Linked DNA regions of Rhinolophus ferrumequinum. The protein of the gene in region 2 binds, or shares a complex with, the protein of the main gene of each other region. Links are inferred from orthologs where the notes say so. Each region holds a gene or a part of one and is shown on either strand. Other genes may lie near its edges.

Region 1 (9,739 bases), on a different chromosome or scaffold from region 2:
TGATGAAGTGACATGTGTAAGATCAGGGTGGTTGAATTAGAACTCATCTCTGACTTAAAATCCTAGGCTTTTTAATGGTTCCAGTGTACTCTCCCGCTGAAATTTCAATAAAACTCACTTATAAATCTGGTCCTCAAAAATAGGATTTTTGACATGTACCAAAAATACTCGTATGTGTATAATTTCAGAGGGTTCGCAGGCACCTGGAGCGCATCCACAAATAAGCCCAATCACAGACACCAGCAAGAGGACCCCTGGCTATGTAGCCATCCATACTACCATTGTCAACTTGAACCCTTGGTGAACGTCCGAACTTTCCTTCCAGCCTCCTGTGGTTCTATATCACCTTTACAATTATGCTTCATAACTTGTAAGACGGCCATTGTCCTGCTTGTGACCCTGCCCTCAGCACGGGCAGGATCTAAGGTGAATCCACATGGGCATATCCTTGCCTGGTAAGACCACTTCTTCTCATGCCATGACTTGCCTTACCACTATGTAACACTTAAGAAATGGATCCTAAAAAGGAGGCTATTTTTAGCACTAGTTTTACATTTTCTCATAAAAGATCATCAGCACTAATTTTATCATGATCCACTTCCAAGTTTATCTCAAACACTCAGGGCCTTGTCACTGAAATGCTTGGTCCCTCACCACAAGTGAGCCTGCGGTATTACCAGGTAACCCTGCTATGTTTCCTAATTCTTTCACTTTCCTAATCTCCTGGGTTATTTCACATTTTTTCCCTCCAACTTCTAAGACCTCCTTGCCATCTTTATTTGCAGCTGGTGACTTTGCTTCCTTTTTTACTGAGAAAACTTCTTCTGATTGCATAAGTGAATGTCCACAAACACATCTACTAAATGACTTCGGTTTGAACTCTGTTCCCTTTCTTCCATTTCTGTAGACTAACTGTCCTTTTTCAAGGCCACTCTTTCTTTTGGATCTTAGATTCCATTCTCCTTTTGTCTTCTCAAGAACACGGCTTCAGTTTTTCTCTTTCTACTGCATCAACAATTTTCCCTTTCCTCCTGAATCAATCCCCTCCGCACACCGTAACACATATTATAACAGCTCTCATCTTTACGAAGAGTAGGCTTGTCACTCTTCATCTTCTCTCAGCTACTACTCCGTTTTTCTTTTCCCGATTGACCCCCAAACTCCAAGAGTTGATATTACCCACTGTCATAAGTTCTTCTCTCTCAATCTCTTTTCAACTCAATTTTTCTAAATCCAATAGTCAATTCTAAATTCCTCATTCTACTCATCCTATTAGCAATATTCAACAAAATTGATCTCTCTCCTCAAAATACTGTATTCATTTATTTTCAAGGACCTCCACTCTCCTGGTTTGCTCCCTTTCCCAGTCACTTTCTTGGTCTCCTTTGCTGATTCTTCCTTCTTTTATTGGCCTCTAAAAATTAGGACATCCTGAGGCACAATCTCTCAATGTTTCTTCTTCTCTTTGTGCCTTCATGTCCAAGGGCCCTAGTTCAGTACTCTGGCTTTAACTACCATCTACCCCAGTAGTTCCCAGTAGGAGTGATTTTGCCCCCAGGGGACACTTTTGGTTGTCACAACTGGGAGCAGATGCTACTGGCAGCTAGTGGGTAGAGGTTAGGGATGCTGCTGAACATCCTAAAATGCATAGAACAACAAAACAAAAATACCTTCCACAACCAAAAAGCAACAGCATCAACAGTGCCCAGCCTGAGAAACCCTGATCTACCCATCACTCCTCTCTGAACTCTAGACTCATGTGCCCAACTTCCTACGCAACATCTTTTGGATATGTAACAGACTTAGCATGCCTCAAACTGAAGTTTGGATTCTCTCTGCCTCAGCTCAGTTTCCCTAGAAAACAGAACCTGAGATAGGACTTGCATTTTAACAGAAGATGTGATTCCTAGTAGTGAGAGTAAGGGAAAAGGGAAGTGAGATAGGGAAGGATAGTGTGCAAATACAAGGTGGTGACTTGCCAAGCTGGCCACTCCTTCATGAGCTATAAAGAGATGCAGCCCTGTTATTAGACCATACGTTTGCTTGTCCCTGAAAAGAATAAAGGGAGAGAGAATTTATCTACAGACTCTGTCCTATCTCTTACGAGATCAGACAATTAAGGTCGTGAACTCATCCTAGAAAAAGTGCTACATACCTTATTGCTGAACGTCACTACGGTCACCTTTGAAGTCCTCCCCTTGGGAAGCTGTGCATGAATGCCAGTGCCGAGTCCACCTTTCAAAGCAATTTTGGAATTCTTTTTCTGAAATGGCCATCAGAGTTGTCGTCGTAGTAACCTTGATGTCCCAAATGTCACCAAAATGTCTTCCTTTCAATATTTTCTTTATATTCGGGTAAAGAAAAAAGTCATTGGGGGCCAGATCAGGTGAGTAGGGAGGGTATCCCAATACAGTTATTTGCTTACTGGCTGAAAACTCCCTCACAGACAGTGCTGTGTGAGCTGGTGCATTGTTGTGATGCAAGAGCCATGAATTGTGGGCGAAAAGTTCAGATTGTCTAACTTTTTCACGCAGTCTTTTCAGCACTTCCAAATAGTAAACTTGGTTAACTGTCCAGTTGATACAAATTCATAATGAATAATCCCTCTGATATCAAAATAGCTTAGCAATATTGTTGCAACAAGTTCACGAATTTGTCAGACCTCGTATGTCCTACTAGGCAAGTTATCACTGGTCCCCTGAGTTAATGCCTCCACATGGTGTATTGTTCACCCGGACCTTTGTTCAGTCTTGAGGAATCCAGATTGTATTCATTGCAGTGTGGTCAACCTCATGAGGCAGAACTCTGCTGCCCACACAGGTGGCTGTTCCAGCAGCAGCTGAGGCAGCGCAAGTTGCCACAGGGCAAGAAGAAGAGAGAGGAGGGAAGAATCTGAGGAGAGGCCTCAACTGCCCAATACAGTGATAAATAAGACACACAAGGGGCCTTATTTACATAAGAGCCAGACTTTGTGTAGCTCACATTCTAGTAGGAGAGAAGCTGTCCAATCCACTCTTTCAGTAAATGACGTCCCCATCCTCATAGTTACTAAGGCTAGAAGACATTCTTGAAACATTCCCCGCCCCCTACATCCCAAATCCTGCTATCTCTATTGTAAAAATCTAATCCTATTCCAATCACTTCTCACAAGCTTACCGCTCTCTTCCTTGTTCATGCCATCACCACCTGTGTTACTTTATAACCTACAAACTCGCGCCTTGTTTCCAGTAGCCAGAATAATCTTTGAAAACAGCAAATCATGTTTTAGTGCTATACAGATCCAAGTCCTCCAACATCCTCCACAGCACTCAGAATAAGATGAAATGTTCTTACAGCGACCTCAGACGCCGGCACCATCTGGACCCTGCCTACCATTGTGACCTACTTCCTTGGTCACTTCTTTCTAGCCTCCCTGGCCCTCTTGTTTCCCAAATATTCTAAGGTTGTCCTTGCCTTAGAACCTTTGCATTGTCTCTTATACATAACGTTTTGATCTTGCTATTATTCCTTGCTTTCTCTCTTCTTGAAGTTCTTTGTTGATATGTTACCTCTGCAGAGAGGCCCTTCCTAGACATGTAAATCTCTATGTGTCACTCTCTATCCCTTTTTAAACATTTTCTTTACCTGACATTATAATGTGAGGTCTATTTGTTTATTATTGGTCTCTCCCAGCAGAACGTGAGCTCTGTGAGGTCTGGGGCCTCATGTGCCTTAGTTATTACTGTATCTGTAGGGCTAGAACATGTCTGACACACAGCTGGGGCTGAGTAAATATTTGTTGAATGAATAAACACCTTCAGATCCTTACCAATGGTGAGCTTGCATCAAGAATGATGAGTTCCTTGCTCAACAACTTTCTTCCAGGTCCTTGGAGGTCCGTTCCTGCTCTAAACACATCTGCTAGGGATGTTGGAAATTTCCGAATCTTATTATGCCCCCTAGTAAAGACCTGACTTTAGGAACCAGTCTGTGAATTTTGTCTAGGAAGGCAATCACCAAATGCTGAATTAGGGCAAGTGCATCCACATGAGGCTAGGAGATGAGAGTCCTGGAGGCGTTGAATAGAAAGAAGGAAGTTACAGGCAGAGTGAGGTACAAGAGCAGGGTGGGGAACTCCAGGATTGCTAGGACATGGTCAGAAGATGTTTATCACGTCTGGTAGGGCTGTCTCCCATAGGACCATAACAGCAGCAGCAGCAAGAGCAGCAGCAGCAACAAAAACCAGGGACTTGTACACCTAAAGCTGATGTAGAATAATATTGTATGTCAACTATAATTATATATATATATATATAAAATGTATATCTATATATGTATATGTATATATAAATATATATAATGTATAGTCACGGTATGTGGAGTACAGCATAAGGAAGATAGTCAATGGTATTTTAACAGCTATGTAAGATATCAGACGGGAAGACCTTGGGGGTGGTTATCACCTTGTGAGGGGTGTAAATGTCTCATTAGTAGGTTGCTTTGTACACCTGAAACTATTCATTTTTTTTAAGGGACTTGTCGGTATTTCAGCACACAGCTCCATGTTTTATTTGCAATAAAGCAGTAGTGCAGAAAGGTAGAGTGAGTGGGATAGAACATGTGTGTGGAAAGTGGGGAAAGGGCAGAGTTTTAATATGGGAGGGAGGAGTTTAAGAGAACTAACTCTATTTTTGCAAAAGAAAAGCTGAGATTATGCATCCGGAGGAGTGGAGGGAACAAACACTTTTATTTTTCTGAAAAGAATGCTGGAGTCTGAATCTGGAGGAGGGACTTAACTAGTGCCCTACCCAGGATTATTGCACTGCCTGGACAACCCCGCTGAGGCCCCGGCTTTCCACTAGCCACAAGAGAGTGGCTTTGATTAAAGACGTGGGTGGTGTAGGCACCCGGCCACGCGAGCCGCGGTGGTGCGAAGGGGTGGTCCCAATGCAGCGGGGGACCAATCAGCAGCGACTCCGGGCTCTGGCAGCCTGCTTAGAGCCTCCGCTGCAGTTGAACTACCGGAGCTGCTGGCTGCCGGCTTTGGAGCTGCAGGCGCCCAGGCGCAGCGCCTCCGAGGGCGCCGCTGGAGCCGCACTCCGCGTGCACCACGCACGCCCCTGCATCTGCTGCCCTGCGTCTGTGTGCCGACCCTTTCGCGAAGAAGTTGCAAGCCTTGCAAGTGGCCCTGTGAGGCTCTAGGCCGGGAAAAGAGGCTGCGGGAGGAGGGACGTAGGTGGGAGGTGGGCAGGTGACTTGCTTCTCAGAATCATCCCAATTAGCACCAAGTTGGCAGACAACCCCCAAAAACTCACGAAGCCTTTAGTGGTTGCCCACATTCTCCGTATTTCGTAATAATCTCACTGTAAGAAAATTTCCAACTCCCATTGTAGGTCAAAGAGGGACAGACTCTTAGCACCACCGTCTCGCAATAACACTACATAGAGCAAACCCAGTTGATCCTCAACTGCAGAGCTCTACCCAAAATCCGCACGTCTCCCAACTCCAGCCGGGAGAAGCTGGGTGGACCCCGCAGAGGGCCCCCTGCGGGATGGGCAGGATGGCTCGCCCAGCGTGGCCACCGAAGCTGGTTATTGTGCGACTGCACAAACACAACCCTATCCGAGGAGTTTTGCCAGGAACAACCGCCTGCATTGCGTCGGACCTGACCATTTGAAATGTGGAATTCCCGGTGAAGGTCGCGGCCAGGGACCGCGCGTGTGCGGGGCTGTGGACCACACGGAAAATAGAATTGGTGGTCGGCTTTTTTGGCAGAAGGAAAAAGCTGTGCAGGCAAGGGTGGGGACCGAATGGCAACCCCCCTCTACCGAACCACCACCCCCTCATATTTTCCCTCTACCTCCTCGCTCTTGCCCTCCCCCGCCCTCCCCAACCCACGCCTGGGTGGGCCAATCGCTGCTCCGCGCTCCGGGCGCTTTCTCAGGTTTCTGCTGATCTTGCAGCGCCCAGAAATGGACCGCGCAGACCCGCCGCCGCACGCACCCTACCCCACTCGGCGCTCCTAACAGCTCCCCGCGCGCCTCTCAGCCTCCGCGAGGTCCACGCGGGGGTGCGGAAGCGGAGGGCATCCAAGAGCCATGTAGACCCAGGTTCTTGCTCGCCTGCTTCCTTCGGGATCGAATCAAGGGCTCCCATAGTGTTCGGAGGGGGGCGAGAGTGCTGTTTATCGTCATTTGCTTCAGAGCTTCGGGAGAGGGTGGCATTTTGCTTTTCCGCCCCGCATCCTCCGGAACTCCCTGCACCAGAAGAGAGCACGCCGTCTCCAGGTTGCTGGCAACGGGTGAGAATGGGGATAGGGAGTGGACATTTCCCCTGTAGCTGCTCAGAAAAGCGATTGTCCGACTGAAGGGGAGTAGCGCGAGAGGGCGAGGGCGGCGAGTTTGCCCCGGCGCCTCGCCTCTCGGATGCTGCTGCGGCGGCGGCCGCGTCTCCCGCCCGTGTACTGCAAAAGCGACCTGCCGCATTCCAACTCCGGCTCTCCGCGGACTCAGCACCACTCCTGCGCCAAGCCGGCCGGCCAGGTAGGGGGCCCCCCAGATCGGGGCTGCAGAAGCAGGGGTTGGGACGATGGGTGGGGGAAAGCCGGGGGTGTAGGAACGCTGCCTGGGACCTGGAGCTTCCCCAGCGTCTCTCGGCGCTTTTCCGATCTCTAGTTTAACGAAGTTGTAAACAGATCGGCTGTTGGGCACTGGGGAAGGTGGGATGGAAGAGCCCCAAACTTGGATTTCCGGGTGTCTGTGTGTGTCTGTCTGTGTGTATGTCCAGTAAAAAGTCCAGTGCTTTCTAACAAAGCTAGAGGTCTGTGCTCTTCAGTGTCTGTAGGTCCGTCCCATCTAAATGCTTCTGATTTTCTACCCCCGTATCACTTTCTATTTCTCTGCAGCGTCCATCGATCGCCCTGGTGGGAGCTTAGAAGGCGGCAGGCGAAGAGGGGTAGGAGGGGGGAGAGCCGAGGAGAAACAGAGGGGTTGTCAGGCGAGGGCATCTGCTGAGCTGGCTCTGCACCCGGTCCTAGGAGAGCTCGTGGAGGGGAGGGGAGGCCAGGGTGACCCCGAAGTGATGGCCCAGCTCGCTAGAACAGCACTGCGTTAAGGCACCTCCGAGCAGGAAGAAACACCAGCTCTCCCCCCCACCCCAACCCTGGGCAAAAAGGTGCACCCCGGGCCGCAGGCGAGGGGGATTCCAAACTGAGCAAAAGGTAGGGTGGAGAGGAAGGGAACCAGAAGCGAAGTCGCAGATCTCTTGACCGGCTGGCTTCGAAGCCCCTCCCCTTGAGCGTGGGGGAGACACGCACTCCGGTGGGGGGGGCGCTTGGGTCCCCCCCACCCCTCCTCTCTCCGTCCTTCCTACCACCGCTGGCCCTTTCCTGCTCTCTCACCCCTGCACCCGGCTTCTACCATGACGGTAATGTCTGGGGAGAACGTGGACGAGGCGTCCGCCGCCCCGGGCCATCCCCAGGATTACCCCCGGCCAGCGGACCACGAGGACCACGAGTGCTGCGAACGCGTGGTGATCAACATCTCCGGGCTGCGCTTTGAGACGCAGCTCAAGACCCTGGCTCAGTTCCCCAACACGCTGCTGGGCAACCCTAAGAAGCGCATGCGCTACTTCGACCCCCTGAGGAACGAGTACTTCTTCGACCGCAACCGGCCCAGCTTCGACGCCATCCTCTACTACTACCAGTCGGGGGGCCGGCTGCGGAGGCCCGTCAACGTGCCCTTGGACATGTTCTCCGAGGAGATCAAATTTTACGAGCTGGGCGAGGAGGCCATGGAGAAGTTCCGGGAGGACGAGGGCTTCATCAAGGAGGAGGAGCGCCCCCTGCCCGAGAAGGAATACCAGCGCCAGGTGTGGCTGCTCTTCGAGTACCCCGAGAGCTCGGGGCCCGCCCGAGTCATCGCCATCGTCTCCGTCATGGTCATCCTCATCTCCATCGTCATCTTTTGCCTGGAGACCCTCCCTGAGCTGAAGGACGACAAGGACTTCACGGGCACCATCCACCGCATCGACAACACCACGGTGGTCTACACTTCCAACATCTTCACGGACCCCTTCTTCATCGTGGAGACGCTGTGCATTATCTGGTTCTCCTTTGAGCTGGTGGTGCGCTTCTTCGCCTGCCCCAGCAAGACAGAGTTCTTCAAAAACATCATGAACTTCATCGACATCGTGGCCATCATCCCCTATTTCATCACCCTGGGCACTGAGATCGCCGAGCAGGAGGGCAACCAGAAGGGCGAGCAGGCCACTTCGCTGGCCATCCTCAGGGTCATCCGGTTGGTAAGGGTTTTCAGAATCTTCAAGCTCTCCCGCCACTCGAAGGGCCTCCAGATCCTGGGCCAGACCCTGAAAGCTAGTATGAGAGAGCTAGGGCTGCTCATCTTCTTCCTCTTCATCGGGGTCATACTGTTTTCCAGTGCAGTGTACTTTGCAGAGGCGGAAGAAGCTGAGTCGCACTTCTCCAGTATCCCCGATGCTTTCTGGTGGGCGGTGGTGTCCATGACCACTGTAGGATACGGTGACATGTACCCTGTGACAATTGGAGGCAAGATCGTGGGCTCCTTGTGTGCCATCGCTGGTGTGCTGACAATTGCCCTGCCCGTACCTGTCATTGTGTCCAATTTCAACTATTTCTACCACCGAGAAACTGAAGGGGAAGAGCAGGCTCAGCTGCTCCACGTTAGCTCCCCTAATTTAGCCTCTGACAGTGACCTCAGTCGGCGCAGTTCCTCTACTCTCAGCAAATCTGAGTACATGGAGATCGAAGAGGATATGAATAATAGCATAGCCCATTATAGACAGGCCAATCTCAGAACTGGCAATTGCACCACAGCTAACCAAAACTGCGTTAATAAGAGCAAGCTACTGACCGATGTCTAAAAAGCCAAGCAAACAAAAAAGCCCCACTTAGCCGCTTGAAAGACTTACAAAACAAAACAAAAACCCTAGTGACCCATGTCACTCTTTGTCGATACTTTACTGAATAGTTTTTGAATGCTCTATTTAACTGTCAATGCATTGTTGCATTGTGAATTTTGGGGGCGGCCAATCAGAAGCTTCCAAGATCTGTGGGGGAAAAAAAAAACTATTTTCATTTTATTAAAAAATGGGAAAAGAAAGTGTATTTTCTAAAATTGGTTTAAAAATTCAGTTCATGAGCTAGACTCGGTAAAATAAGATTCATATGCTTCCCCATACTGAGACATTTGTAATCTTTGGGCTTCTTTAACTTTTTTCTTTTAACTAAAAACCAGATGATCACTTAGAAGTATAAAATTAAAACTTGCATGGGACTCCAATAGAAAATCTTTGCAAACTGCATAGCACATTTAAGACAGTGCATCTGATGTATTATATGTAACATGATATACAAGCCAAAATTGGCAATGAACAAATGTTTTTATTTTGATCAGTCACACTGCATATTATAAGATGAAAGAAAAAAAGCAAACAGAATTACTTCAGACTGGTTCACAAAGCACCTTATCAGTCTCATGCTGGTCCTGGTCTGTAGGGATTTTCTTTCTGCCCCATTCCCCTTCTATACAAACTATCCTCTAAGAAAAAGATACTGAATTAAATTAATTGATTAATCTGCAGTGCTGCTAAGTTTCTCACCTGCAGATGAACCCAACACAGGTCTTTTCTCACTGGTCCTGTACCCTGACCCCTCGCCTTCAGAACTGGATGTAAAACCTTAACCTCCTTATTGCAAGAGAGCACAAATAGAGTTAAATGT
Region 2 (9,584 bases):
GAAAACAGGTGGTGCCCCCCCGCCACCAGGGGTAGAGAGGAATCACTGCCCCAGGCCCAGAGTAGAAAGCACACACAACGCGAGGCCAGGAGAGGACGCGGAACTGGAGGTGACAGGCAGTGGTTATTATTTGGAAAGGCCTTAGTGACGGAAATGGGATGTTTTCTCTCAAAGGCCCACGCCCGTTATGTCTCATGTCCCCCTTGGCTGGAGGTGGCCCTGGGCCTCACTGTTGGGTGGTGGTCATTCCCACGACATGATTTGAATGAGGCCCAACTCCTCCCCGGGTCACTGCTCCTCTCTGTCAGCACAACGTCCCCCTCAGTGCCTGGTGGTTGACAAGCCCGGGGACATGGTCCTGGCACCCTGGTCCATGGTTCCTGCGCCCTGCACCCTTCACTCCCTCTTCCTGTGGTCCCTGTGGGCCAGCCCTTCTCCATCTCTCCTGGTCTCCACATCCAGCCTCTGTCCTCCGTCTTACTGCCTGTGACGGGGCTTCCTGATCACTGCCCTGCTCAGACTCCAGCGATGGCTCCCCAGTGCCCACTCCGTGCAGCCCGAGCTCCTTAGCTTGGCATTCAGGCCCTCCCTCACCAGACCCCCAGCCCCCTCGATGGCCCTGATGGCCCGTCTGTGTAAATACCACTTCCTGTTCTCAGGCTGTTGTATCTCCTGGAACGTTCCTCCTGATTTCTGTGTTCAATCCTGTCGAGACCTCAAGGTCCAGCTCAAAGCCCCAGTGCTGCCTTGAGCCCAGCCTAGATGAACTGACTCTAGTCAACCCACTGACATATAAGCGAGAAATGAATGCTCCTTGCTGTACAGCACTGAGTTTTGGGGGCTGTTTGTTATGTGGCGTTCTGCGTAACAGCTGATGGATACCGGGTCTTAGCTCCCTTACTGTCTGTCACATCCTGCCTGACGGGGGGCACGCCTGGAAAACCTTTGCTCTGTTATAGGAGAGGCTCCACACTGCTGACTGAACCATCTGAGAGCCATGTCAGCGCCTGGGTGACAAGGATGCCCCGCTGGGAGTGGCACCCTGGATGCTGGACAAAGATCCTACCCCCTTAGAGGTCATCATCAGGGGCCCCACAAGAGACATAAGTGTGAAGCAACCACACTGGAGACCAAAGGCAGGACATCCAGAGCCTGTGGCATTGCACGAGGAGCTGAGAGGCAGAGAGGGACGTGGGAATGCACTTCTCCAACAGAACTCGTCCTCAGGGCAAGAAGGCCTGGTGGAGACCGGATTCTTATCCAGAGGGGCCCTAAAGGGGTGGACAAGACATTGGATCCGTGGCGTTCCAAGGGCCAGTGAGGGTGTGGAACACAGTCTCACTTCCACTCGGTTACACCCCACAACTTCCTCGGCCCCTCTCCCTGGCCATGCCCTCTCAGCTGGCCGGTCTGTGCCTGGACTTTTCTGCCTTTGTCTCACCTCATTCCTTTCCTTCTGGGAGTGAGGTGGGCTCGGGATACGTGAGGACGCAGTTCAAGTGCACGTTTGGTTTCACTGGTCAGATCCTGCTGGGATGAGTGTCACACATTTGCAGTGACATGTTATGTACCACTGCAGTGATGACCATTTTATCCAACGAACGCATTCGCAAGCCCACATTCAGATCTATTTCAGGAAAGACCTTACTGAGCAAAAATTTGAGTAGAATGAAAGACTTGGTCATCTCTCTCTCGCCCTCTGTAAGGAGTGGGACACTGAAATGGTGGCAAAATGAGCCTGAGGACCCAGGCCCACGGTCACGTCGGAGGTGCCGGTAACTGCCCCCGGCCCCATCAGTGGTGAGCGTGCGCAACGCCGGAGAGCGAGACCTGCCAGGCCTGAATGTCAAGATGCACAAGAGACACCAGGTCCCTGCCCCCGAGAGCCACGCCGAGGTCCCCACAGAGTCCCAAGGCGGGCGGAGCTCACCTGCAAGTTCCACACCCTGACAGTTTGCTGATAGGAAGAAAATGTCAAAGTAAACTCCTAGATAGAGTTAGAGACTTTCCGGGAAGCATGTGTCCTCGTGGGGTACCCCCTACCGTACAGGTTAGGAAGAGGCCGCCTAGAGGGAGGAAGGGACAGCCCGAGAGGACGCGGCTGACTGACCTGTCTGTTCCCTGGATACCAAGTCGTCTCACAGGGACACAACCTTTCACCAAGCAGGGGCAGGCATCAGAAAGACGCTAGCACGTCCCCCCCCCCCCCCACCGACCGCATCCAGGTCACATTGGAGCCGCAACCCCCAGGTGAGGCTGGCCTTGGGTGACCCTGACAGCGCTGCAGGTTACACACACATCACTTCAAATCCAAGGAAACGGGGAGAACGGATGGGCCACAGTGTCTTTGACTCTGAGACCCCAAGAGGCACAAACCGCTGCCTGAGGCGGGAGGCTCAAAGGTAGAGCCTGCGAGAGTGAAGCAGGTGTCACAAGTCCCTTTGCTCCAATCAAAGCAAATTCTAGAAGATCAGCACAATGAACCCAACTTCACGGTTTTTCCATCAGGACATTACAGATGCCTCATGGGTGGGTGCCCAGAGAAAACCGGAGCCTGGACTTCGTCGGGGGGCTTTTGCTCCTGAGAAACCAGCAGCACACCCAACCTGGGCACACAGCCCTCCCACCCACTCCCCTGCCTTTCGCTTGTGGATTTAGGGGAATGGAGGGCTCGTTACCTGTAAAACTGGAGCTGTCTTTTGGGACTCCCATACCGAGTACTGCGACAGCAACGGAGGAGAGAGAAAAGAAGGGAGAGAAGAAAGAGAGTCCACAATTGGCATTAACCACAGGGAGGTGCCAGCCAGAACCACCAGCGACACCCCTCAGCCCCAGCCCCACCCCGCTCTGCTCAGGGCTGGCGGGGAGGATGCACGCTGGGTACCAAGTGCTCGGCAGAAGCGCCACCCAGTGGCGCAAGGAGGTAGACGCCCATTCTGTGGGGACAGCAGAATGGGAACTGAAGACAGGAGGGAAACCCTGGGGGACAATCTGTTTGGATTTTAATGAAATATGCTTGAGAACAACAGTTGAAAACCCTCAAACCAAGAAGCGCCTGTCATCCCACTCACTGGCAAATCTTCACGTGACTGTGCGTGTTAGGACCTGGATGAAGTGGGGACACCCCTTTTCCCTGTGGTTTCCATGGATACTCGCTGAGGCTCAGGCCCTGACAATTATCTAGAAAGGTCCAATCGCTCAAGCACTGATGGGCCCCCAGGGTTCCACCTGGGCCCCAGCTGTCGGTGACTGCCAGCTGGGCTCTGTGCTCCGGTCGGGGTGCCAGCAGTTCTCACCCAGTGGCTCCTGCCTGTTTGCCTGGGTCCAACCGGGAGGCAAGCAGAAAGACAGAGCTGGCCTCCTCAAGGAGCAGGTCCAGGGTGCCTGGTGAGCACCTGGCCACCCCGCCCTCCCCGGCATTTGAAGATGGGCAGACACGGTGCCCCACAGGCCTGCAAGGCTTTGAGCCTCACTCAGGCAGTTGGGGGAGCTGAGGGCTAACCTTTCCCCCCTTCTTCTGAAGCCTACTCTCCTCCGGCCACAGGGGGTCCGGAGGAGCCTCAAAGTGTAAGATGAGAGAAACAGAGCCAGGAGGGACTCCCCCCCCCCACTGTTGGGCTTCCGTGGAATTAGACTCCCACCTCTCCTGAATTATTCCACTCCTGAATTATTCCAGGAGAGGTGGGAGTCTAATCCTGGCTCCAACCCACCCAGAAATTCCTGGGTTTTTCTTCCCCATTTTGGTCTTAAAGGCTTCCATCCCTTTCCTCAGAGAAAACGCACCCCCGCTGCATCTCACTGTCCTCTGGGTCCAGGGGAAGAAACACAGTGGCCTCGGGGATCCCTCCCAGAGGGAGGGTGACTGTGGGGGGCCTGGGGCTGGGGGTCACCTGTAGATCATGCCGGGGGAGCCCGTCTGCCGCAGGGAGAGCCGAGCCGGGGAGCCAGTGGTCGATTCTGGATACATGGAGCCGGCCTCACTCGTCCCGACCTGCTCTCTTCTTCACAGAGGGAAGATTCTGGAAGAAAAGCAAGAGGGGAGGTGGTTAAGAAAGACCAGTCAGGTTTGGCCAGGAGGCTCTGTGAGGGTGAAGGCCCGGTTTGCGGGGCATCAGCATGTCCCTCATCGCACAGACAGACCGACCATGGGGGCTCGGATGAGGCTGACGGTCAGGTCCAAGGACTGTGAAGGATTTCCATCTCTCCATCCCCCACCACGCTCCACAGGGGTCCTTCTCCTGCACCCCCACCCCCATGGCTGCTTTTCTGAGGCTGTCAGAGCAACTTTTTGTTGCCCAAACTCTGCAGAAATGGTCCGAGAGGGCGTCTGTGGACTTGGTACTCTGGACTGTCTTCCCCATCCCAGGTGGTGGCGTCACTGTCACCCAGGGCCATCCTTGCTGCCTCACCTTCCCTGACCCCTACTCTAACGATGGTGCCACTGCTGAGCTTTAAGGAAGCAGCTTTTCAGACACCCCGTGACCCCAGCTCCTGGGACCCAACACCCTCTCCCCCTGAGCATACACTAGACCTAGTGACTGGCTTCGAACACCAGAATGTGGCACAGGTGATGGGATGTCACTTCTGTGATTAGGCACTTCCGTGCCTTCTGTCTTGCTAGCAGACTCTCTTAATTGCTGGCTCTTGATGAAGCTTCTTGATGAAGCAAGTTGCCATGTTGGAGAGGCAAGGGACTGACGGTGGCCTCTGGCCAACAGCCACAAGAAGGAATTCTTCACACCACCACGGGAGCTTGGAGGGGATCCCTCCCCAGTGGAACCTTCCAGTAAGAGCCCAGCCCCACCAAAACCTTGATCGCTGCCTTGTGAGGCCAGAGGCACCACCCAGGAAAGCTGTGCCCCAACTTCTGACCCACAGAAGAAACTGAGGTAATAAAAGTTGTTTTAAGTTCGAGGTAATATTTCGGCGGCAACAGATCATGCTCAGTTCCTGATCGCGTCCCCAGCCGGTTCTTCCCACGCTGTTCCCAGCTCAGCAAAAAATTCATCACTATTCATCTTTAGAAACACCCAGAATCCCAAGCTTCTCACGGTGATCCCCATAAGCTCCACTGTGGTCTGGGCCACCACCTTCTCTCTCGCAGGTCCCCTTCCCTCCAGTCACACACACACACACACAGCTGTGTGATGTGTCTCCTGGCTTCCACCTTTACCCTTCACCATCTACTTTACAGGAGCCAGAGTGAACCTTCTAGAACATAAATCAGATGATGTCATTACTTTGCTCGAAACCTTCCGATGGTTTCCCAATCTACCCGGAGTGAAAGCCCAAATCTCAACAGTGGCCTTGTGCCCCACCCCACCTGCCCATGATGCGTGGGACGTCATCCCCTGCCTCCCCCTTGCTCACCCCACTCCCACACACTGGCTCCTTGGGGGTCCCACAAACCCGCAGACACTCCAACCTCAGAGCTTTTTTTTTTTTTTTTTTTTTTTTTTAAAGAAGGGCGCAGCTCACGGTGGCCCATGCGGGGATTGAACCAGCAACTTTGGTGCTACCATCACCATGCTCTAACCAACTGAGCTAACCTGCCACCCGCAACCTCAGGGCTTTTGCACCTGCTTTTTCCACCTGAGCTCTTTGACCACTGAGATCCATCTGAGGGCCCCTGCCCCCAACTTTCCTCTTTATACAAAGGTGGCCTTCTCCTGGAGTCTCTCCCAGACACCTTATCTGAAACTGCAAACCCTTTCTCCCACACACCCCTCTAGTCCCTTCCCTGCAGAATTTTTCTCCCTAGCACTTGTCACCGTCTAATATACCTCATACTTCACTTACTGTCTCATTTGTTATCGTGTTTCCCTCCTAAACACTCAAATACTTGTTGAATGAGGGAGTGAATGAATGACTCTGAGCTTAGCCTGCTGAAGGCTCATCCAGAGAAAGCACAGGGGAAGGGAGGGGTGTGGGGACTCCGCCTCCACCAGGGACAAGGGCAGTCTTCTCTGGAGGGTGCAACGCCCTCTCTGTCCAGGGAGGGTGCTCAGGGCAACTACAGGTGCAGGGACAACTGGTACCACCTGCTGCACTTAGCAAGGCGTCCCTGGGGAGGCCACCTGGCCTACTCCTCCCCCCTACCTAGTTTGGACTCTGAAGGTCAGGCTTCCTCTGAACCAGCAGCCAGCTTCTGGCCCAGAGCCCACCTCTGGGCTCTGCAGCTGTCACCGTCCAATCAGGAGCAACGGCATCCATCCAGTGGCCAATCACGGAGGAGATGACATGCTAGCGGGATGCTGCCAATGTCAGGCATTGGGAGGGAGGCGGGCAGAGGGGTGCACCCGCAGCCTCTCGCAGCTTCCGGAGAGACAGCTGACTTGGGGTCCGAAGCCTGGGTCCCTCCGTCTCCTGCACTTGTACCTGGTCTGTGTGTGACCTTGAGCAAACACCCCAATTTATACTTGGAGAACTGAAGCAGGCAGCACTCAGAAAGCCTGCCCATACCTTCTCCCCGAGCAAAGAGAAGTAAGACATGAAAATGCTGAGCCCAGGAGAAAGCTGTCGAGTAAGTCCCAGCTGTCATCCTTTACAAGGTGAGCTGATGGTGACACCCCAAAGGTCAGGAGGCTCCATCTGTGGGCACTGTCTTTCTTCTCCCCAACTTACTGTTTTGAAAAACTTTCACACATCAGAAAAGTTGTAACAAATCAGAACAGCAACAGACACCCCTATATTCTGCATCCTATTCACCAACGGTCTACATTTTGCCTCAGTTGCATGCATTCTCTCTCCCATCCCGTTCTTTCTCTCCTCTGTCCTTCCCTCCCTCCATCTCCGTCTCTACACACACTCACACTCTTTCACACATTCATACTTACACACACACACATGCATTTTTTCTGGAGCCATTGAAAGTTGCAATCTCAGGGCACCCCCCGTCCACACTGCAGCATGCCTCTTCTGAGAATAAGAGCTCTGTCCTTCATCACGCCAGGGCACACCGAAGGTGCTTATTCAATGTCACCTGATATATAGCCTATATTCACATTTCCCCTATTCCAAACATATATTTTATAGATTTAAAATAACCCAGGGTCCACTCAAGGTTCACAAACGGCATTGGTTATTTCCCCCACTTTCCTCTCATCTAGCTCCCCACCATGTTTTTGTTTTTGTTTTTCAGGACACATTTTGAAAAGCTCAGGCCATTTGTCTTGCACACTGCCCCACATTTCGGACTTGTCTGCTGCCTCACGATTTGATTTGGCTAAGCCTTTTGGGTGAGGCTGTGTCTTCTGTGGGCACCCAGCCAGGAGGCACGTGCATATCCCCGTGGGCAGAGGCAGGCTCCAGTCACTTGCTTGAGGTGGCTTCCGCCTTGACATGGCACGTTTCCTCCTTCAAATCAACCGGTAATTTCGGGGAGGGTTCTTGGCTTTGTGGATGTATCCAGTTCCCCTGCACCCTGTCACTGTGGGTGATTTCTCAGCTTTAGTTTTTCCTGAAAGGCCAGTATGCTGCCAGTTAGAGCTCTGAGAGCAGAGGATGGGAAAGGACAGGAAGTGAGTTAAACTGAAAGGAAACACAAAAACGGATTCCTGGAGGTCTCAGACTGCAGCCCTGGCAAGACCTCACTGTTTAGAGTCTCCACGGACTGACTGGAGAGTTACACGGGGGCCTTCAGTGTAACTCTGGGTCCTGGGATTGGCCATGGGACGCTGGGTGGCAGCCTTCGGGAAAACAGGACCCATGGCATGATTTTAACATGGACAAGCACATGTATACACACATAGGGGAAAGCACCAGAATAAACCAGGTGATCCATGCAGAAAGTCCTGGTTCACCACGTACCAAGGCGAGGCACCCTTGACCAGACACAAGAGCCCTCTCTCTCCTTGAGCCTTAGTTTCCTCATCTGCAAAATGGGGCCTGGCCTAGATGACCCTCAATTTCTCTGTTGGAAATAAAGATAAATGACTATATTACTCTGGGGGAAATATGCCCGGGGTGTCCCACTCACAGCTACTAGTGTGTTCCTCTCCCTCTTCCTCCCTTCTTCCTTCCCTCTCTTCTCTTCCCTCCTTCTTTCCCTCCTTCTCCTTCCTCTCTCTTTCCCTTTCTCTTCCTCCCTCTCTCTCGCCCTCTGACTCTGCTTCCTTCCCCCCTCCCTCCTTCCTTCCCTCTCTTTCCTGCTTTTTTCCTCTCTCTTCCTCTCCCTCTCTCCCTCTCCACCCCCCACCCCACCAGAGGCACTTGCACGAGATGGGAAGAATTCTGTGTATTCAGGACAGTGAAGAAAATGAACATGCGCCGTAAATGAAAAACCACAAAGGTCAGACCTGAGCCTGCGAGTCCAGGATGGAGACACAAAATAAGAGAAGACACCTTCTCATTGGGCCTGGTTGGGGACAGTTCTGGTCACCCAGATGTTCCTGGGTGACTGAGCTGGCATCTGATTTGCATAGGAGGGGATGAGGGCCCCTAGCCCTTACTTCTCCCAGTATCCACATCCTTTGCTGGGTGACTTTATGGCATCTCCCCAACACACACACACACACACACACACACCCCAATGGAGTGCGAGCAGAATGATGACGTGCCAGTCTCAGCCTCGGCCATGGGACACTAGCCTGGAAACTCTGCCATCACCAGGGACAAACGTGTCCCAGACCCCGCTGGTCCAAAGGGCTGCATGTGCCAGAGCGACCCAGCCTAGACCGGGACGTGCAGCCAGCCGACCGAGGAGTGCGTGGTAAGTGAAGTTTACTGTGGTGGCCTGCCTCCAGGACGACTGTCCTGCAGGACGGGAACAGACTTCTAACTTCAGGGCTCCGGGGAGCAGGTTCTGGGCTTCCATCTCCGGGGTCATCCTTATTATGTTAAATCGTGACTCCAGTGGGTGGCGGGGCTACCTCCAGTGACTGGAGAAGGAGATGCGTTCATCTCTCCACAGCAGACGCTGGAGCACAGGAGAACTTGGGTGGCAGGAACCTTCATTTAGCGAGATGTCTTGATCCAAAGTTAGCACTTTGTGCACTGAAGAGGTAACTGTTTCTAAGTGGGAATCTTGCCAGAGCACACTGCACACACACATCTTCTATCTTCTCCTCGGGCTGGGTGGATGACATAATTCCACCCTCTTTGGGTGACCCAAGGAGACCCTTCCGGGTGTCGGGGAGGGCGGTGAGGCCCAGCCCGGGTTCCCACCTGGCCCAGGGTTAGAGTATTGTTGGTATATGACCTTGGGCAAATCTCTCAATCTTCCCTAATGTCGGTTTCGTCATCTGTGAAATGATATCAGGAGTTGGGCGGGCAAGGATCCATGTGCTAACAGGTGGGGGCAAGTGGGGGCTGGGCAGGGCCTGAGGCTGGCCCTGGTGGAGGGAAGTGGCCGTCCAAGGCCTGGCAGGCCTTCTGGGAAAGCTGCTGATCACAGCTCTTCTGGAACCTTTGCACCATGTGCAAAAAGCTTATGAAGCTGTCCCTGCACAGATGTGTCCCCGAGGTGGCCTATTCCCCGGCAGTGGCCTTACCTTCCAAGAGCTCACTCCTTAGGGTCCTCAGACTTGCTACAACATCTGCTGTGCCTTTGCTGCCTCTGTTTGCTTCGCAGAAGGCTGCTCGTC
Region 3 (9,262 bases), on a different chromosome or scaffold from region 2:
ATGTCTCCGTAGCCTACAGTTGTCATGGAGACGACTGCCCACCAGAAGGCATCCGGGATGCTGGGGAACTGGGAATCTCGTTCATCGGCCTCGGCGAAATAGACAGCACTAGAGAAAAGGATGACCCCAATGAAGAGGAAGAATATCAGAAGGCCCAATTCCCTCATGCTGGCTTTGAGGGTCTGACCTAGGATCTGGAGACCTTTGGAGTGTCTGGACAACTTGAAAATCCTAAAGACTCTTACCAACCGGATGACACGGAGGATGGCCAAGGACATGGCCTGCTGGCCCTGCTGGGCATCCTCTGGCTTCTCGGCCAGCTCCGTGCCCAGGGTGATGAAGTAGGGGATGATGGCCACGATGTCAATGATGTTCATGATGTTGGTGAAGAAGCCGGCTTTGCTGGGACAGGCAAAGAACCTCACCAGGAACTCGAAGGAGAACCAGATGATGCAGAGGGTCTCTACAATGAAGAAAGGGTCAGTGAAGGAAGTCGACTGCTGGTACCCGATGGTGCTGTTGGAATAGGTGTGGAAGGTCACTCCACCACCATGCATGTCTTCATTCTCGTCCCGGAATATGGGCAACGTCTCCAGGCAGAAGCTGACGATGGAGATCAAGATCACCATGACAGATACTATAGCGATAATCCTGGCAGGCCCTGAGCTCTCTGGGTATTCAAAGAGAAGCCACACCTGTCTCTGAAACTCGTTTTCGGGCAGAGGCCGCTCTTCCTCTTTGATGTAGCCTTCGTCTTCCCGAAACATCTCCATCGCTTCTTCCCCCAGCTCGTAAAACCGAATTTCTTCAGAGAATATATCTAAGGGCACGTTCACAGGCCGCCTCAGCCGGCCCCCGGACTGATAATAGTACAAGATGGCATCAAAGCTCGGCCGGTTCCGATCAAAAAAGTACTCATTTCGAAGGGGGTCGAAGTACCTCATCCGCTTCTTTGGGTCCCCTAAGAGGGTCTCTGGAAACTGGGCTAAAGTCTTTAGCTGGGTCTCAAACCGTAGCCCCGAGATGTTGATCACCACCCGCTCACAGCACTCGTGGTCAGCCTCTGGGTCATAGGTGTCCTGTGGGTGCCCGGGGAGGGCAGCAGCCTCGTCTGCTGGGTCTCCGGTGGCCACTGTCATAATTGGGACTAGGAGAGGTGCCTCACGCTATGCCTTCCAGCTGCCTGGCAGCAGGGAGCTCAGGGTGCTGCTGACGGCTCCAGGAAACTCAGGAGCATGGGCCTGGGCTCCTGCGGGAGAGCCCCAAGGGCTCCCTGAGAGCCGGAGAGATAGCCTCGCTCGGCTGAAAGACAAGGCAGGACATGAGACCGTTCCGTGTTGGCAACCCGGCCTGAGGTGCCAGTTTGAGTCGCCCATCTCTCAGCCAAGCGTTCAGAAACACGAGCGCTACTACCACCACCAGAAAGCACAACTTACTTTCACCTTGTAAGTTGGCTGGGGAATCACAGGGAAGTCGGTGGCCATCTCTCAAGAAAGCCCTAGAATGCCCTGCATTGGAGGAAGGTGGCAGTCCAGGCCCCTCTGCACTGCACGGGATTCATGGAGCATACCCCACACCAGAAGCTGGAAGGGAGCCCTCCCCCAGGTACCGAACTCATGTCTTGCAGATACCTGCACCCTGGGAGGTATTGTCAGTGGTGAATCTTGGACTTGGGTGTCCCTCACTGCCCCCACCGAAATGATTCTACACGTGGCTGTTATTAAATGATAGACTGATTTACCTGGCAAGGCAGGGATCTGAAGTTCTCTTCCTTGCAGAGCTGATCAAATGCTGACGGACTCCTAGATACACAGACAGGCAGCCGGACTCCCCATCATGTCTTCACACTTGAGCTGGAAATAATGGTGAGTCATTCTGGGCAGGAGGGCAGGTTCCAGGTCCTGGAGGTGAGCCCCAGGGCTGAGCTAGGCTGGAGGGGCGGTGGGGGGCCTGGTCAGGGGCATGCAGGACTCGAGGACGGCAGAGCTTGGGTCTGGAGCCTTTGGAAGGAAGGAGATGAGATGCAAAGGTCAGCATAAGCTGGAGCCCTCCTGGCTGTCCTCAGGAGGTGTGACGTTGCCTGGATAAAACAGCAGCCAGGTGGAACCAGGGCTTTTGGGCAGCTGGTGCCAAGATTTAGGAGCGCTCTGGCAGCTTCCCTTCCATGCCCCCTTCCATTCTGGTGTCACATCTGAGACTAACCCTCAGCCCCCTCCAGCCTCCTCTGGGCAGGCTTCCATCGGCTGGAAGCATTTTCTCGCAGGGAACCAGCCTTCAGGCTTGGCTGAGACTGTCTCCTCCGAGGCCTCTCTGGGCTGAGCCAGACTCCCTGTTGGTCCTCAGCAGCCATCGGGAGAGACTCTGAGCAAAGCCCTCCCACCCCCAGGTCAGGACACAGCATCTTGCAAGAGAGGGCTTCCCAGACTGGAGCCTACTACACACTCTGACCTCCTCAAGGTTCTGGAGGAAGAAGAGTCCCCCCAAACCCCTCCCAACACATACTCCTTCAGAGCTCATGTAGGGAGACTCCTCACACAAAAAGATCCGCTCTACAAAACTGGCTGGCTGGGGCCCAGGACTGACTCTCCCTTGGGGATCCCTAGGCAGCAGGCCTCCATCAGGCGGGTAGCATTTGAACCGGGCAGGCGCTCGACCACCGACTTCTTCCCAAGAAAAAATCCCTCCCGTCTCCTCTGCAGGGAGCACAGAACGGACGCTCAGCCAGTTTGACTGCCAGGCGGCTTGGCAGCAGCGAGAGGGGAGCCCGGTTGAGGCCGGCATCCGAGCTGGCCCCCTGCCGGCTCCATCCTGCCGGCCCCGGGGTCGGGAGGGGTCTGGGTCCTCTCCCCACTGCTCCGGGCCCTGGCCGGGATTCCGCCCGGCGTGCTTCGCGTTCGGCTCTGCGCGGGCGGCCCAGACCCACCGGCTGGCCACGGCAGTCAGCGCTACCTTAACCCCCTCCTGCCCGGTTCGGGGGGGCTCTCGCTGCAGGCCCGAGCGCAGCCCAGCTCTTTTGCCCCTGGGGTCCAACCGAGGGACCGCCGAGGCTCCATCTCCACTGGAAAACACTGGAGCCTGAACTGTGGAGGGTGGGGAGCAGGCGGCTACCCCAGATCTCAGCTCCTCTTAAGCGCGGGGGCTCCACGGCAGCCCGCGGCCCCAGGGAAGCGGAAAAGCCCTTCTCCGCCGCAAAGCTGTTTTGATTCTGAGCCGGAGAAGAGCCTGCAGCCCAGCCGTCCTGAGTGATACGGGTCCCACCGACCAGCGCTATTTACCAGACATGGTTATGCTGTCAGCTGCACTTCCCATCATCACCCGCCAGCTCCTCGCTGCGCCCTCCGCCCCGCGCCACGCACAGCCCGGAGGGTCCCCGAGCCCATATGGTGCCCTCCTCCTCCTTAGGGCGCCAGCTCCCCACCCCCCGTCCGCTCCGGTCCGGCCGCAGCTCGCCCGCCCGGGACGCAGCGCGAGCCCTCCGCGCTGCAGGCGGCAGCGTCTGGTGCCCCGCAGCCCCTCCGGGCGCCGCAGCCCACACCCGGCAAGCAGCACGCGCGGCCCAACGCCCCGGCACCGCTTTACCCTTCCCGATGGGCACGCGGAGCCTCCATGTTCCGGGGTGACCGCGAGCGCCGGCGATACGGCGGTGGCGGGCGGCAGCGGCGGCGGGGTGCGGGCGGCCAGGCGGGAGCCGGCTCTGCAGTCCCGCGGGCGGCGCGTACGGAGCCCGGCCGCCGCCCGCAGCCGCACCGCGCCGCACCGCGCCACGCAGCGCCGCACCTGGCCCGGCTGCGAACTCGAATTAAAGGGGCCGACCGGGGCCGGGCCGGGGCCGGCGAGGCGCGCGCCAGCCGCCTCCGCCACGCGGGTCGCCGGGGTGGGTCCCCGGATCTCGGCCCCCACCCCATCAGGAAGACACCCCCTTCTTTGGCAGAGCCCAGCTTACTAACCAGAACCTCGTGGAGAGCTCAGCTGGGTGCTGCCGGGGCCGGACGCAGGGCGCAGAAGTTGAGGAGCGGTCAGGAGGGGCTCCTGCCAACATAATGAAGTAGGCAAGGAGCAAACAATCGATAGCAGTTATCCCCGGCCCGAGGGACAGGTGTTGCTATCATTACGATGCTGCCAGACAGAATCTGTAGACCCACTGCTGGCCCCCCTGCGCCGGCTCGCCCCCTCCTCCAGGCCTGCCTCCCCACCTCCCTCTTCCCCATCCACAGCTTTGGCTTGGCGCGGAAATGCAGCAGGTGCGGGCCGTGGTGTGGCAGAAACTTGCTGCTGCGTTTGCCCCACCGGGAGGAGCCACAGGGACCCGCAGAACTGCAGAGCCGGTCCTCCGGACCCCTCCCCCAGGGCCCGGGCAGGGAAGGCTGGGGAACCTGCAGCGGCCCTGGGGAAGGGCCAGCTACTCACCAAACGGGCCCCCTCACAGACCTTACAAAACCAGCTGGCCCACGGGACTCTGAACATAGGAGTGCAGCTCACAGCACGCTGGGGTGGGCCTCTGCTTTGGGAACAACGTGTGTGGGAAGCCCACCCTGCCCTCTGCTCAGACAGGGTATCTGAGAGGGTTGGGTGGCTCCCACCCAAGCACTCCAACCCCTGCCAGTTCTGTTCTTCAGATCCCTCTTCCAAACCCCAGTTCCTTGAACTTAGACTGCAATGCAGAGAGGCTGTAGTCCCAGGAAGGCACCTTCTGGGTCCTTCTTTCTCAGAGAACCTCCTCTCTAGGTCCGTAGCTGTGATGGAACCCACAAGGCCCAGCTCTGTGAGATTCTGGCCTTTCATCCGGGGACTCTACCTAGAGCTGCAGAGGGTGGCCTGGAAGGGCAGATGACTACATGGCAGGGCCCCTTGAAGCTGGGTGGTCAATGTCCCACCAAAGGATGACCTGGGTGTTTTGGAACCCTGACAGTTACTAGGCAAATTAATCCACGTCTCTGAATCTTAGTGTCCTCATCTGCAAAATGAGGATATCTCATGGGCTGTCATAAGGGTGAAACTGTTTAGGTAAACAGTTTAGCGCCCAGTGGACACTACACAAATGATGGTTTCTCCACTGTTTCCCTATGAAACTTTCCTCATAGCCCTATTGGCTTAGCTTTTGGCTGTTTCTCAACCTGCCCAATCACCAGCTTTTTATTGTACGATTCTCTCTGCTTCCCAGCTTGCCCAGCCCTCACTTTCCCTGAGGTCTCGGCCCTTCCCACCTCTGTCACCAAATTCTGCTCCACACTCCTTCTGGAAGCCTCCCCTGACCGGCGCCACAGGGCGGTGGCCCCTTGTTCTTGCCACAGTGGGCCCTCGTGTCAATTCAAGCCCAAAAGTCTTACCCATTTGATCGTGTCTATATATTTTCTTTGTTCTCCTTTGTTAAAACAAAAGCCGTGGACAGGAACAACTCTTGACGGAGAGTTAATAATTATGCTAATTGGCGACATGTGCTTACCATGTGTCAGCGACTGCGCTAAGCAGCCCTAGCCCTGTGGGACGTCTAGTCCTCAGTTCTAGTCGTTTCTACCTCGGTACCGTTTCAGGGAAAAGGAAACTGTGGCAGCAACCTGCCACAAAGCAACCTGCCCAAAAGGTGAAGCAACCTGCCCAAAGTCACTGAGTGATGACTCCAGGACTTGAAGGAAGTCTTTGAGACTCCAGGACACACAGCCGGGCCCCGACACCACACTGCTCACGTAGAATGAGTAGCCCTTGAACTTCACTTCCCTCTTTGGGGTCTTCTTCTGACCTCTGTTCCATCTGATTGGCCTCCCCCCATTAAAGCCTGATCTAAGTGTGAACCACAATCAAAAAGGAATGAACGAGAGAAGGAAATAAAACGAGTTGTTCAGGAGCGTGGGGTGTGGCCTCTGCCCCAGACAGCTCTCTCTTGGTTTGGCGGTCCTGTGTGAGAAACGCACACAGACCCAATTCCTAGCTCCGACACTTGCTAGCTGGGTGAACTTGGGTGAGTTATTTAAACTCTCTGAGCCTCAGTTTCCTAATCTGTTGAGTGGGACAGCAAAACTAGTTCCCAGGGTGGTAAGGATTAAACGTTATAAAGAGTAGTCAGCCAACTAGCTTAACCTAGGTGTTTAATCATGATTAACTCGCTTTCTAGCCCTATAGCAGTCACCATTTCTTATTTTTGGCCACAGAAGAACAGCTGGAAAGCCCCTTGATTCCCCCCTGGCCCCTCCGGGTAGGTCAAACCCCCAAACCACTCCTTTCCCCTTTAGTCCGTCTCCTGATTGGGGTCCATGCCTTCAGCAGAGGGAAGGACTGGTGACTGCCACAGAGTGACCTGCACCTGCGCCACATACAGAATCTGTTGGTTCCTGTGGTCTGTGACGACAGTCATTGAAAAGAGGGGTTTATGAGAGTGCGCCTACACCCACCCCACCCAGGCACCACAGGTGCAGGAGGGAGGGTCTCTTAGTTCTTCCCACCACAATTCATATACACAGAAAACTACACGAGCTCCCTTCCCAGGTGTCACTCCCAGAGGACCAGCGCTCCTTCCTTGCATGACTGCCACCTCTGCTGATGCTTGCTCCCCCAACCAACCCACTCACCCACTGCTCTGTGGCAGCACCACCCCCTCTAGCCCACAGGAAGCAGGGCAGGGACGCGTGGAATACAAGCCCAGGCCCTGGGCTGACAGCTTTCCATAAGTCCTTTGATTTAATCGTTGCAACCACCCTGTGGGAAGCAAGCCATTATCTCCATCTTACAGTTGACGATATTGAAGCTCAAAGAGGACAAGTTGCTGTCCAGGGTAATTTAGTGGCGAGGCTGGGATGGAACTCAAGACTGGCTGACTCCACAAATCACCATGGCATTCTGCTGCCCGCTTCCACTGCTGGGGGTCAGGCCTCGGGGCTCAATTCCTGGTCTGAGGAACATGGGTTCAGCCAAACAGGGCTCGCAGATGCTTACCCACACATCTGGGGAGGTTGTCCAACTTGACGGGAGGTCTGTTTTAGAAGGGGTTGTGCTGGTGGTAATGAACTATTCACACCAAGGGAGTCGGGGCAGTGGTGCAAGGTTCTTCCCTGTGCCGCTTCCTGAAGCAGCTCAGCTGATGTGTCTCACATCTGCAGGGCCCAGGGCCAAGCGTCCCTCACCCCGGCACAGGGCGGACAAGGCAGAGCATCTGACCAGGGTTGCAGTCTGGGTTTTTGCCTCGGCATGCAGGGCCGTGTGACCCAAGGTCTCTCACTTGACCTTTTTGTGTCGCAATTTACTCGTAAAATAGGAAAGATAGCATTGCCCCCTATCTGCCCCTTGCTTCACAGTGTTTGGAGAGAGAGAGGAAGGAGGGAAGGAAAGAAAGAAGGAAGGAAACGAACATTCATTATTTGTATGTATTAAAATCTCATTTGTTAGGATCGGAGAGGAGAAAATGTGTGAACGTGCTTGGAGAAGCAAAAACCTGGTCAGCGTGGAAGAGTACACTGTTCTTGTGATTGTCATCGCTGCCAGTGTGCATCGTGACTAATGTCTGAGGGTCCCCTGGAAATGAAATGAGCAGCCGTTCCAGCCCCCTACTTACCTCAAGGCTGCCTCCTCCAAGAAGCCTTCTGAGATTAACTCCAGCTGCCTCTGAGGAACTCCTGTGCAGAGGCCTGGGCCTTGGTCCTGTCCTGAACTAGCTGCTACACTCTCATCCCACTCTACTGCGAATCTTGGCCAGACAAAAGACTATTTTAAGGAATGGCTAAAGAGGGGAGATCCTCCCTCCCCTCTTGGAGCTGCTGCTCTGTGTCAGACACTGTGCTGGGTGTCTCACCATCAGACCCCTGATATTAACACCCAAAGGCAGAATAGTGTGGTTCAAGTACAACTGATGCCAGGTCTAGGGCCTAATTCCAGGCTTGCCATGTTTTAGCTCTGTGACTCAGTTCCTCGCCTATAAATGTTGTTGTGTGCCTGGAATATAAAGCACTTAGAACGGTGCCTGTCCCAAAGCAAACACTAAGTGTCAGCTGTCAGCAGGTCATCCTCTCAGCGTTGCCACCATGGTCTTCTCTATTAGGAATGGAAGTGGGAGAGGTTTAGGATGAGCTGTGACAATCCATAGCTTTTGTGTTCCAGGCCATATCCCCGGGACCACCTGAAGCATTGGTGGCTCACTCAGGTTTCCCAGGGTGGTCTGGATGTGCGTGGAGGCCCCCTCCTCCCATCTGTAAGAGGGACAATTCCTGCTCTACACCAACCCTTCAGCCGGCTCCATCTGTACGGAGCCCCCACTGGTCCACAGATGTAACCAGCTCAGTCCCACAAGCCAGCTGGCCTGGGTCAGATCAAAGACTGGAGCAAAGGCTGCTCGACCCAGCACCTCGGGCCTGTGCTGGGCCCAGGGCTGGGCCCTGGGTGCTCTGTCTTCAGCCCAGGTCTCTCCCTGGAGCCACAGACTCATCAACCCCACTTCCTAGGCCTGCTTCGCCCTCACGTCCCCCTTGTTGGGAGAGACGCCACCTCTCACCCTGCTGCCCAAAGTAGAAACCTGGGAGACTTTATCAGCTCTTGTACCCCTGACATCCGACAAATCCAGTCCCTCACTTGGCCTTGACATCTGTTCCGCTTCTCTGATTCCCTGTCCTGCCCCTGCTACCCTGGTTTAAGCCACCAGAGGGCATGGTCTGCTGCAACCTTTCCGGGTCCCGGGCTTTCAGACTAGCTGTTCCCTCACCTCGTCTCCCCTCAGTTGCTGTAGTGGTCCTTCTAAAGCGTCACTTATCTTTGAGGTCCTCATGGACTCCCTATTGCTATGATACAACCTACGTGTCCTAAAAGGCATACAAAGCCCTTCACAATCGGTTATTTCCTAGAGGTCTATACCGGCGTCAAACTAAACTGCTTCGAAGGCTCTAACTGGTTGAAAACAGATGGACTGGGTTAAGACCTGAACTCCGACAGGTCTAGGCTTGAGTCCTGGCTCTGCTCCTCCCCACTCATGTGACCTCATGTGGCTGCTTTGTTTGGGCCCGATGGTTACTATAATCCCATGTCCTTCTCCTCTCCCCTTTACTGTCTTTGGTCTATAGAGAAGGGGAACAGAGCAAATGAGAAGCAACTTGACATCAGGGAAAGAACACTGGCCTGGCAGTGCCAGCCCTAGTTCTGCCACGATCTAGGTGACCTTTGGGTGTGTGACCTTGGGTAAGTTACTTCCCCTCTTTGGGCCTCAATTTCCACATCTGTAAAATGGGAAAGCTGGACTACATGATATATATGACCCCTTCTTGTTTCTGACTAGTTCTTCGACTTC

Evidence for each region.
Region 1: the proteins of KCNAB2 (region 2) and KCNA1 are in contact, whole or in part, in a crystal structure (PDB 1EXB), measured with the Rattus norvegicus proteins. The link is inferred for Rhinolophus ferrumequinum from reciprocal best matches to the Homo sapiens genes KCNAB2 and KCNA1. Residues at the interface, in NP_059000.1 of Rattus norvegicus: Met196, Tyr199, Ser200, Arg203, Glu231, Lys235, Ile236; in NP_775118.1 of Rattus norvegicus: Glu37, Met70, Phe73, Asp74, Pro75, Leu76, Asn78, Tyr80.
Region 3: the proteins of KCNAB2 (region 2) and KCNA2 are in contact, whole or in part, in a crystal structure (PDB 5WIE), measured with the Rattus norvegicus proteins. The link is inferred for Rhinolophus ferrumequinum from reciprocal best matches to the Homo sapiens genes KCNAB2 and KCNA2. Residues at the interface, in NP_059000.1 of Rattus norvegicus: Met193, Met196, Tyr199, Ser200, Arg203, Glu231, His234, Lys235, Ile236; in NP_037102.1 of Rattus norvegicus: Asp28, Glu33, Pro62, Met66, Phe69, Asp70, Pro71, Leu72, Arg73, Asn74, Tyr76.

What each region holds. Positions count from the first base shown.
Region 1 is NC_046293.1:85,976,285-85,986,023, reverse strand, and holds the start of KCNA1 (potassium voltage-gated channel subfamily A member 1), read left to right. Parts: upstream 1-5,099; 5' UTR 5,100-6,521; intron 6,522-6,883; 5' UTR 6,884-7,398; coding exon 7,399-8,880; 3' UTR 8,881-9,739. UniProt on the Homo sapiens protein: Voltage-gated potassium channel that mediates transmembrane potassium transport in excitable membranes, primarily in the brain and the central nervous system, but also in the kidney.
Region 2 is NC_046292.1:3,614,306-3,623,889, reverse strand, and holds the start of KCNAB2 (voltage-gated potassium channel subunit beta-2), read right to left. Parts: upstream 3,891-9,584; intron 2,721-3,890; coding exon of another isoform or gene 2,713-2,720; coding exon 2,679-2,712; intron 1-2,678.
Region 3 is NC_046305.1:42,489,856-42,499,117, forward strand, and holds the start of KCNA2 (potassium voltage-gated channel subfamily A member 2), read right to left. Parts: upstream 4,434-9,262; 5' UTR 3,948-4,433; intron 3,718-3,947; exon of another isoform or gene 3,580-3,717; intron 3,418-3,579; exon of another isoform or gene 3,276-3,417; intron 2,001-3,275; 5' UTR 1,742-2,000; intron 1,303-1,741; 5' UTR 1,140-1,302; coding exon 1-1,139. UniProt on the Homo sapiens protein: Voltage-gated potassium channel that mediates transmembrane potassium transport in excitable membranes, primarily in the brain and the central nervous system, but also in the cardiovascular system.